Linked DNA regions of Mus musculus. The protein of the gene in region 1 purifies or fractionates together with the protein of each later gene. This does not show direct contact. Links are inferred from orthologs where the notes say so. Each region holds a gene or a part of one and is shown on either strand. Other genes may lie near its edges.

Region 1 (3,812 bases):
ATTTGGGATCATAACATCTGACTTGCAAGCTTGCTTTGAAAAGACAAAGTTAATCCACATAAGCGCGCTTCATAGTTGCTGACCAAAAAAAAAAAAAAAAAAAAAAAAAGCTAAACTAATGCTGGGTATATATCTCCATGCTCAGCAAGCAGGTAGAGACTAAACCTGGTAGAGATATCTGTCTGAGCAGCACTGGGAAACCCTTGTCTTGACTCCTGAGTAGATACGCTATTCCCCCTCCCCTCCCCTGAGAACAGCCTCGAGCCACTCTGCTGTCCAAGCCCCACCCAACCTGAGTGATGCAGGCTCCAGTGAAAGCCACAATCACGGCCACCACATTGACAGTGAGCTGGAACTGTAGGAACTTGGAAATGCTGTCATACACATTCCGTCCCCACATCACTGCCTTCACAATGCTGGTGAAGTTGTCATCGGTCAGGATGATGTCTGACGCCTCCTTAGCCACATCTGTGCCTGCGATGCCCTGGGGTGGAGAGGAAGGCAGGCGGGAAGCAGTTAAGGGCACGCAGCACAATCTGAACCCAGGGCCTAAGAACCCGGAAGCCTCAGAACCAGGTGCAGGCATGGAGGGCATTGAAGCTACAACAGAAAACAACCACCCTCCCCACCTTGCTTCCCTGCCACTCTGCAGGAAAGACTATAAGTGATCAAGAGATGGGACGGCATCCTCTAGCCCCTCTCAGAGTCTCTTGCAAGGCCAACTCACTAGGTGGCCAAGGCTGGCCTCAGATTCCTGATTTTCCTGTCTCTACTTCCCAAGTGCTGGTGCACATCACCATATACAGCCCTGATCTGTTTCTATTATACATTGTGCAACCTCTAACCCACTGGGGCTTATTATTCCTGTAAAGTCTTTAAACTTTTTAGATGTTTATTTATGAGTCTTGATGCATACGTGCCCATGTGTACAGGTACCCGCAGAGGCTAGAGTAGGGTACTGGATCCTCTGAATAAGGAATTATAGGCAGGCGTGAGCCATTCAAGGTAAGTGCAGCAAACTGAACTCAGGTCCTCCGTAAGAGCAGCAATTGCTCTTAACTGTGGAACCATCTCTCTAGCCCCAGGAGACTTCTTCTTTATTCTGGTGTGTAGTATATTATTCTGTTTGCCTAGTAATATTATTTTACTATCTAGATTGAAGCAAATGAAGACTATCTAGATTACAAGTACATAATGCAGTTTTCCTATCAAAAAGTTCCGCCGGGTGGTGATGGTGCAGTGCCTTTAATTCCAGCAGTCAGGAGGCAGAGGCAGGTGGATGTCTGTGAGTTCGAGGCCAGCCTGGTCTACAGAGTGAGTTCCAGGACAGCCAGGGCTACAGAGAGAAACCCTGTCTTGAAAAAAAAACAAAACCAAACCAGAACAAAACAAAAATTAAAATGTTCCACAGCGCAGGGCATGGTAGCTTGTCTATAATACCGAGGCAGGAGGTTAGGCTAGGCGATCCTGCCCCTTCCCCCAAACTTCAATAAAGCCACATGCTGCCGTCATCTGTGCAGCATCTGTGCAGCATCTGTGCACTGTGAAAAGAAACAAGACGAGAGATGTGCTTGGGTCTGCTCACTACTATGACATAATCTTCAGGCTTCACTGTTAACTGAACAGAAGAGAGCTGGGAAAGAACATACAGACGTTACCTACCATTAACCTAGGAGGAAGGAGTACGTATATTATATATCATATATTATCATATATTATACTAACAAAAAAGATTTGTTTTTATTTTGTGTGTATGGGTGCTTTGCCTGCATGTCTGTGCACCAGGCACCTGTGGAGACCAGGAGCGGGCATTAGGGCCCCTGGAACTGGAGGTATGGACGGTTGTTACTGTCACATTGGGCGCTGGAACCCAAGCCTGGGTCCTCTGGACCAGCGGCCAGTGCTCTTAGCTGCTAAGCCATCTCTCTGGCTCCTATGTGATTGTTTTCTATTTATTTATGTTTGCTTTTGTTTCTTGGTTTTTGAGACAGGGTTTCTCTGTGTAGCCCTGGCTGTCCTGGAACTCACTCTGTAGACAAGAGGCTGGCCTCGAACTCACAGACATCCACCTGCCTCTGCCTCCTGACTGCTGGAATTAAAGGCACTGCACCACCACTGTCTGGCTCAGCCCTTACCTTTAATTTAAAAAGTTAAATGATTTCATTCTATGTGCATGGGTGTTTCACCTGCAAGTATGTCTGTGCACCAAGAGCAGGCTTGCTGCTCCCAGAAGCCAGAAGAGGCCATTAGATCCCATGGAAATAGAGTCACAGGCAGCTGTGAGCCACCAAGTGGGTGCTGGGAATAGAACCTTGGTCCTCAGGAAAAGTAGCCCAAGTCTCTAAACATTTTTCCAGCCTCTATTTTTTAATTTAAAATTATGTGGTTTTAGTAATTTGATGTAAGATATAGCTACAGATAAAAAACAATAAGAGTAATACGTATATGTACATGTACAGAATCACCAAACAATAATAACTAATTTAAAAAAGATAAATATTTAACTCTGTGTGGTGGTACATGCATATGATTTCAGGACTCAGGAAGCTAAGGACTGTGAGTTTAAGGCTTTCCTGGGCTACATAGTAAGGTTGAGGCCAACCTAGGTTCCTAGTGAGATGCTATCTCAAAATAAAATAAGAGAATATTTTTAGTAATTATTTCATTATTGTTGTTATTTTATAACTATTGCATAGTTTTTAGACAAAGTCAAAAATTGCACTAACGGCATTAGAGGTCACAGGTTTTATCTCAAGAACTGCAAATATAAAATTAGGGAAGCTAGACACACAGGAGAGAATTAGAAGCATAGCATTCCAGAATTTTAAGCGAGAAACATGAAGACAACCAATTTAGGAAGCATTTCACCTTAAAAACAGGTAGAGAAACTCAGCCAGGCCACAAAAGCTCACTTCTTAGCTCTGTTATCCACTCAGTAGCATCTGACACGGTATGCGCTCAGAGGGGAGATGCTCCTCTCTGCTCTGACTGTATTCCCTAGTGTGGCCTAGTGAGGCAGGGCACACTGAGGCAATGCATGATACCAGACCGGAAATAAGAAATAGGCTCAGCGGGCTGGTGAGATGGCTCAGTGGGTAAGAGCACCCGACTGCTCTTCCGAAGGTCAGGAGTTCAAATCCCAGCAACCACATGGTGGCTCACAACCATCCATAACGAGATCTGACTCCCTCTTCTGGAGTGTCTGAAGACAGCTACAGTGTACTTACATATAATAAATAAATAAATCTTTAAAAAAAAAAAAAGAAAGAAAGAAATAGGCTCAGCCAGGTGGTGGTGGCGGCACATGCCTTTAATCCCAGCAACCCGGGAAGCAGAGACAGGTAGATTTCTGAGTCTGAGGCCAGCATGGTCTATAGAGAGTTCCAGGACAGCCAGCCAAGGCTATACACAGAGAACATGTCTCAACAAAACAAAACAAAACAAAACAAAACAAAACACCACCACCACTACCAACAACAAGGCTCAACCTCTCTGCAGTGTCTTATCAGGCAAGAAACCAAAAAAAGCAATAAAAGACACCTGGGGTTACATCAAAAGCTCTCAGAGACACTGAAGGGGTGACTCCTGGCTAATGAGGGATCGGTTTCAGCATCAAGACAATAATAAGAGTAATGGATTGAAGCATATCGTATCTATATTCAATTTTCCCCATTTGGGCTGTAGGTACCTCAGAGTTCTTGTCTGACATGCTTGAGGCCCTAGGCTCAATCCCAGAACTGAAAAAAACAAAAACAAAAACAAAAAACAAAAAACATGTGCTTGTAATAATACCTAAAAAATAACGTAAAGCA
Region 2 (4,247 bases), on another chromosome or scaffold:
ACTCATAGATGAGCTAAGCCACAGAAAACACTCCTTTGCTAACCACAAGTGCTGAGGGTGGTTCAGGGAAAACAAACAAGCCAACTCCCCCAAATCTGTGTTTGTGTTCGAGAGCCTGTGTGCCCGCACTGGGAGGCCAGAAGTTGCCTTCGGGTATCTCCCTTAACTATTCTTTTTCTTTCTTTCTTTCTTTCTTTTTTTTTTTTTTTTGGAGAATACTCAGTTTTTGAGGTAGGGTCCCTCACTGAGCCTAGACCTCATCGATCGGCTAGGCAGACTAGTTAGCAAACCAGAGAGCTCTTCTCTTCTCCAGACTCAGATTACAGCGTTGGCTCTGGTGGCCATCCTTTTCTGTTTTATGCTGGGGAAACTCAGGTCTTCACGTTTGTGTATCAAGCATTTTTAAGGACTATGACATCTCCCCAGTACTCTCTCACCGCAAAAGAAGGCATTTCTCAACTTTCTATGCAACATGGCTAAACTCCTTTTTGATTGCCCCTTTCCTGTGGGTCATCTCTGATACACCAGGCTGAACAGTGAACTGAGTGGAAACTATTTTCTTACGGGTTTCCTCTACCAAAGGTTCTGCCTATTACTGGACACACTGTGACTTCCTTGTAGAATTGGATCTGTAGCCCTGCACAGGCTAGCTCTTCAGGCCCTCAGAGCTTGTGAAGCTAAAATAAGGCCAAAGAGGGGTGGGGAGGGCACAGGTAGGGAGGAAAAGGAGGACACTTGAAGGCTGAGGGAACAGATGTCCGTGCAAGGAAGCACAGCGATCGTTAACACTGCCTGGAAGGGAAAAAAAAATCCACGAGGCAGAGAGGTTGTGGCCAGATACCTCTAGGGGTCTCTGGTCAAAGTCCAGAAGGAAAAGCAGGGTTTTGATAAGGGGTACTAATAGGAAGCTCAAAAGCAGGGTCTAGGGTATCCATTTCTGAAGCTTCGAGCAGTAACGCATGAAAGGCAGGATGGGTGGGGGGAGCATTGTTTTCTCAATGCTTCCTCTAATTTCTGAGCGCTAGGATCCCATAGAAGTGAGAACTGTACTCCGCCGTCTTCCCCCGTGGGAGAAGGAGCGGGTGGAGTCCCCGCCTCGCCCCGTCACGTGGCCAAAAGCGCCCTTCGCACGTGACCGCCCTTGTGCTTGGCCAATCAGCCTCTGCAGGGGCGGGGACTTGGGGAGGGGGGGGAAGAGGGCCTCTTCTCGCGAGCCTTGCCGCCGGTGCTCCTGGCCCGCCCACGGCCGCCAGCGGAGGTCTCGCGAGGCTTGGACGCTGCGGCGGTAGGAGGAGGACAGGGAAGGACGGAGCTCGGCCGCGGCTGCCTCCCTCGTTCACTCCCTCGCGCGCGCGCTCGCCCGCCCCCTCCCTCCCTCCCCTCCCTTTCCCCGGCCCCGGCCCCGGCCCATTCGCTGCGCGCTCTCCGGCTAGGGAGGATGTCGGGCTCGTCGCTCCCCGGCGCCCTGGCCCTCTCGCTCTTGCTGGTCTCTGGCTCGCTCCTTCCAGGGCCAGGCGCTGCTCAGAACGGTAAGCCGAGGGGCCGGGGGCGGGTCGGGCGGGGGCGCCCGGCTCTGGCAACCAGAGGGGCCGGGCCCAGGCCTGAGGGGGATGCCGGAGCCGGCAGCGGGCGACCCGGCTGAGGCGAGGAGGTGCTTCGCGGAGAGGTGGAGGCGTCGCTTTGGTGCGAGCCCGGGGCTCTGTAGACAGGTCCGCGGCGTAGGGCTCATCGCGCACCGGGAGCTGGAGTAGCGGGGGCGGCTCTGGAGAAAGCGGCGGGAGACAGGCGTTCGAGTTCGAGCTGGCGGAGGGGTGGTGTCGGCGAGAGAACCGGGCTCCGCGGGCGCTGACACCCGGGATTCTACTGGGGCCCTGGAACCCGGGTGACATTCTGCAAAATGGGAGGAGGGGGGAAGCTGGGGTCAAAAGGATCCCGTAGAATACCTAGAGGCAGCAGACTGCTTGAGTCTCTCAAGGAGAGGGGTTAGTGAGCGATTCGGGAAACCTTGGATTTGGGGGTAGAGGGAAGGTGGGTGGAAAGATGGAGTGGGTTGACTGCAGTAGGGGGACCTGGAGAAGAGAAGCAGCAGTGTCTCCAAACGAGCTGGGGGAAGAGGATTGGGTTTTGCCAAGGAGGGTGGAGTGCTGGGCATTCTAGGGTAGCGGTTGGGAAAGCAAAAGGGAGTTTCTAAATAAGGAGAGGAAAATGAGCAGAGGATGCGGGGAAAGCTTTAAAACCGAGGTAGAAGAAATATCAGGGAAGTAAAGGGTGCCTGGGTATAGTGGTGGGAGTGGGGGAAGACGGAAAAATAAGGGAAGAGAGTAAAATGCAGGAAGTCGGGGGTGTAATGTTGCTTTGTAGCGCGGCGGATACATTAGGGAGGGGACGAGTTGTGGCAAATGCTTTATGATGCTAGTTCGGCCTTTGGGGAGGGCTGGGACACAGCCACATCTGCAGTGGTGGGATTGAGGGCAATGAGAGATGGTGGCAGGGGAGATGGAGGAAGTGGGCTTTTAGAACTGAAAGTTTCAAGATTGCAAAGATGTTATTTCTGAGGAATATGAATGTGGTCTCTGGGTTGGGTTTAAGGTACAGTGGAAGTGAGAATTGGGTTGCGAACTGAAGCTCTTTAGAGAAGATGGTGAAAGATAATAGGCTTGGGGAGCTAAACATGACAGATTCTGTTGGAATTGTCACAGTCCGTTGTTGAACCGCACATTCAGATACAAACCTAAAGGGATAATGAACCTAATTCAGCTATTGTGGAAACAACTATTAGGAGGTTTAAAGATTTCTATTTTAAACATGAAAAAAATTAATGAGAAGTTGGTTAGGGATAGGGAGCCATACATTAGTCATTAGTTTTAATCTCTGAATTTCTTCGTTGTTATGCTAAAACAATTTGAAGTGGCTTTCATTAAAACAAAAATCAGTCAGAGCCAGTGGAGTTGAGTATTTTGAAGACAAACTGAGCTTAAAATGCTAGCGGATACAGTAATAATGTATCACATTTAGTATTGGAAAAAAAGTCACTTTATCAAATATTCCCTTTACAAGGGAATTTTATGCCCCATGGCTTTATTACTTCATGAGCCAGAAAGGAAACATTTGTTTCTTACATTGAATATCCTAAGGATATGGACACTTCCACCCCCTTTTCCTTCAAGTATGAAGCTGTAGAAGGGAAAGGGTAAAGTTAGCCTGATTTGCTCCCTCTATGCTTGGTATCTATGTATATAAATATGTGTTATTTATCATAGATGTGATAACAATGTGAGTTTAATTCTGATTTCAGTTATTTGTGGAAATAACAGTTTCATTTTGCACTATAGATGAGAGATTCTTGATCTTAGATACTTAATCTCTGCTGGCATAAGTTATTTCTGATGATTTATAATATGGTAAATTGTAGTTTCTTAGCAACTAAGGCAAGGTTTTTGGATAGGCCTACAAAGACTCATCTGCTCTTAGTGATAATATGTTCTAAATACAGCATAGTACAGCCTTTCCCTTGAAATGAGCTTGGATTTAGTCACATGACAGGGCTAGTAAAGTGACTATGAACCCATAGTTGAGCTAAATGAATGTAAATTGAATTCATGAAAGAAATGGTTACTTCCCAGTTTATATGGTTAAGGATGCCATTTTAAAGCTTTCTGTAACGTGCCTCAGTGATATTTAAGGTTTCTGTTGATTGTAGTCCTGTAATAGTCTCATTTTGTGTCCTCAAGTGTTTTTACTTTTTTAAACAGTGAAATGAGATACCATGTTATATACCACATAGTATTTAACTATTAGACATACTGATAATAAAAATAATGCTTTGGAAAATCAGTTGTAGAGTCACTGTTTCTGGATTGAAAATGTGGCAGTTTAGATTAGGCATGTAGAAGTTTTTGAAAAAGCTTCTGTTTTTGTTATTCCTTAAGTGAAGAATTTGGTATAGATGGCCAGCAGCATTTCTTTTTAATTCCAAAAGGAATACGATCCATTACCATAGGAATTCAAGTACATTTTACTTTTCATATAAATATTCAGACTTGTAAGGTCACAGTTTCATATAAAACATAAAAATTTTAAGGTATTCAAAGGTTTTAGGTTAAAATTGAACATTAAACCAAGCTCATGATCTAGAGCACAGGCTTTGGACACAGATAGAACTGGTATTTTGTTTTGTGTGTGTGTGTGTGTGTGTGTGTGTGTGTGTGTATAGAGAGTGGTGGGAGGGAGAGAAAGGTGAGAGAGAG

The links.
Region 2: the proteins of Atp2b4 (region 1) and Nptn purify together in Homo sapiens (co-immunoprecipitation; 3 studies listed by BioGRID and IntAct, with this or other methods). This does not show direct contact. The link is inferred for Mus musculus from reciprocal best matches to the Homo sapiens genes ATP2B4 and NPTN.

What each region holds. Positions count from the first base shown.
Region 1 is NC_000067.6:133,719,032-133,722,843, forward strand, and holds part of Atp2b4 (plasma membrane calcium-transporting ATPase 4), read right to left. Parts: intron 485-3,812; coding exon 293-484; intron 1-292. UniProt on the Homo sapiens protein: Calcium/calmodulin-regulated and magnesium-dependent enzyme that catalyzes the hydrolysis of ATP coupled with the transport of calcium out of the cell. By regulating sperm cell calcium homeostasis, may play a role in sperm motility.
Region 2 is NC_000075.6:58,580,998-58,585,244, forward strand, and holds the start of Nptn (neuroplastin isoform 3 precursor), read left to right. Parts: upstream 1-1,242; 5' UTR 1,243-1,438; coding exon 1,439-1,529; intron 1,530-4,247. UniProt on the Homo sapiens protein: Probable homophilic and heterophilic cell adhesion molecule involved in long term potentiation at hippocampal excitatory synapses through activation of p38MAPK. May also regulate neurite outgrowth by activating the FGFR1 signaling pathway.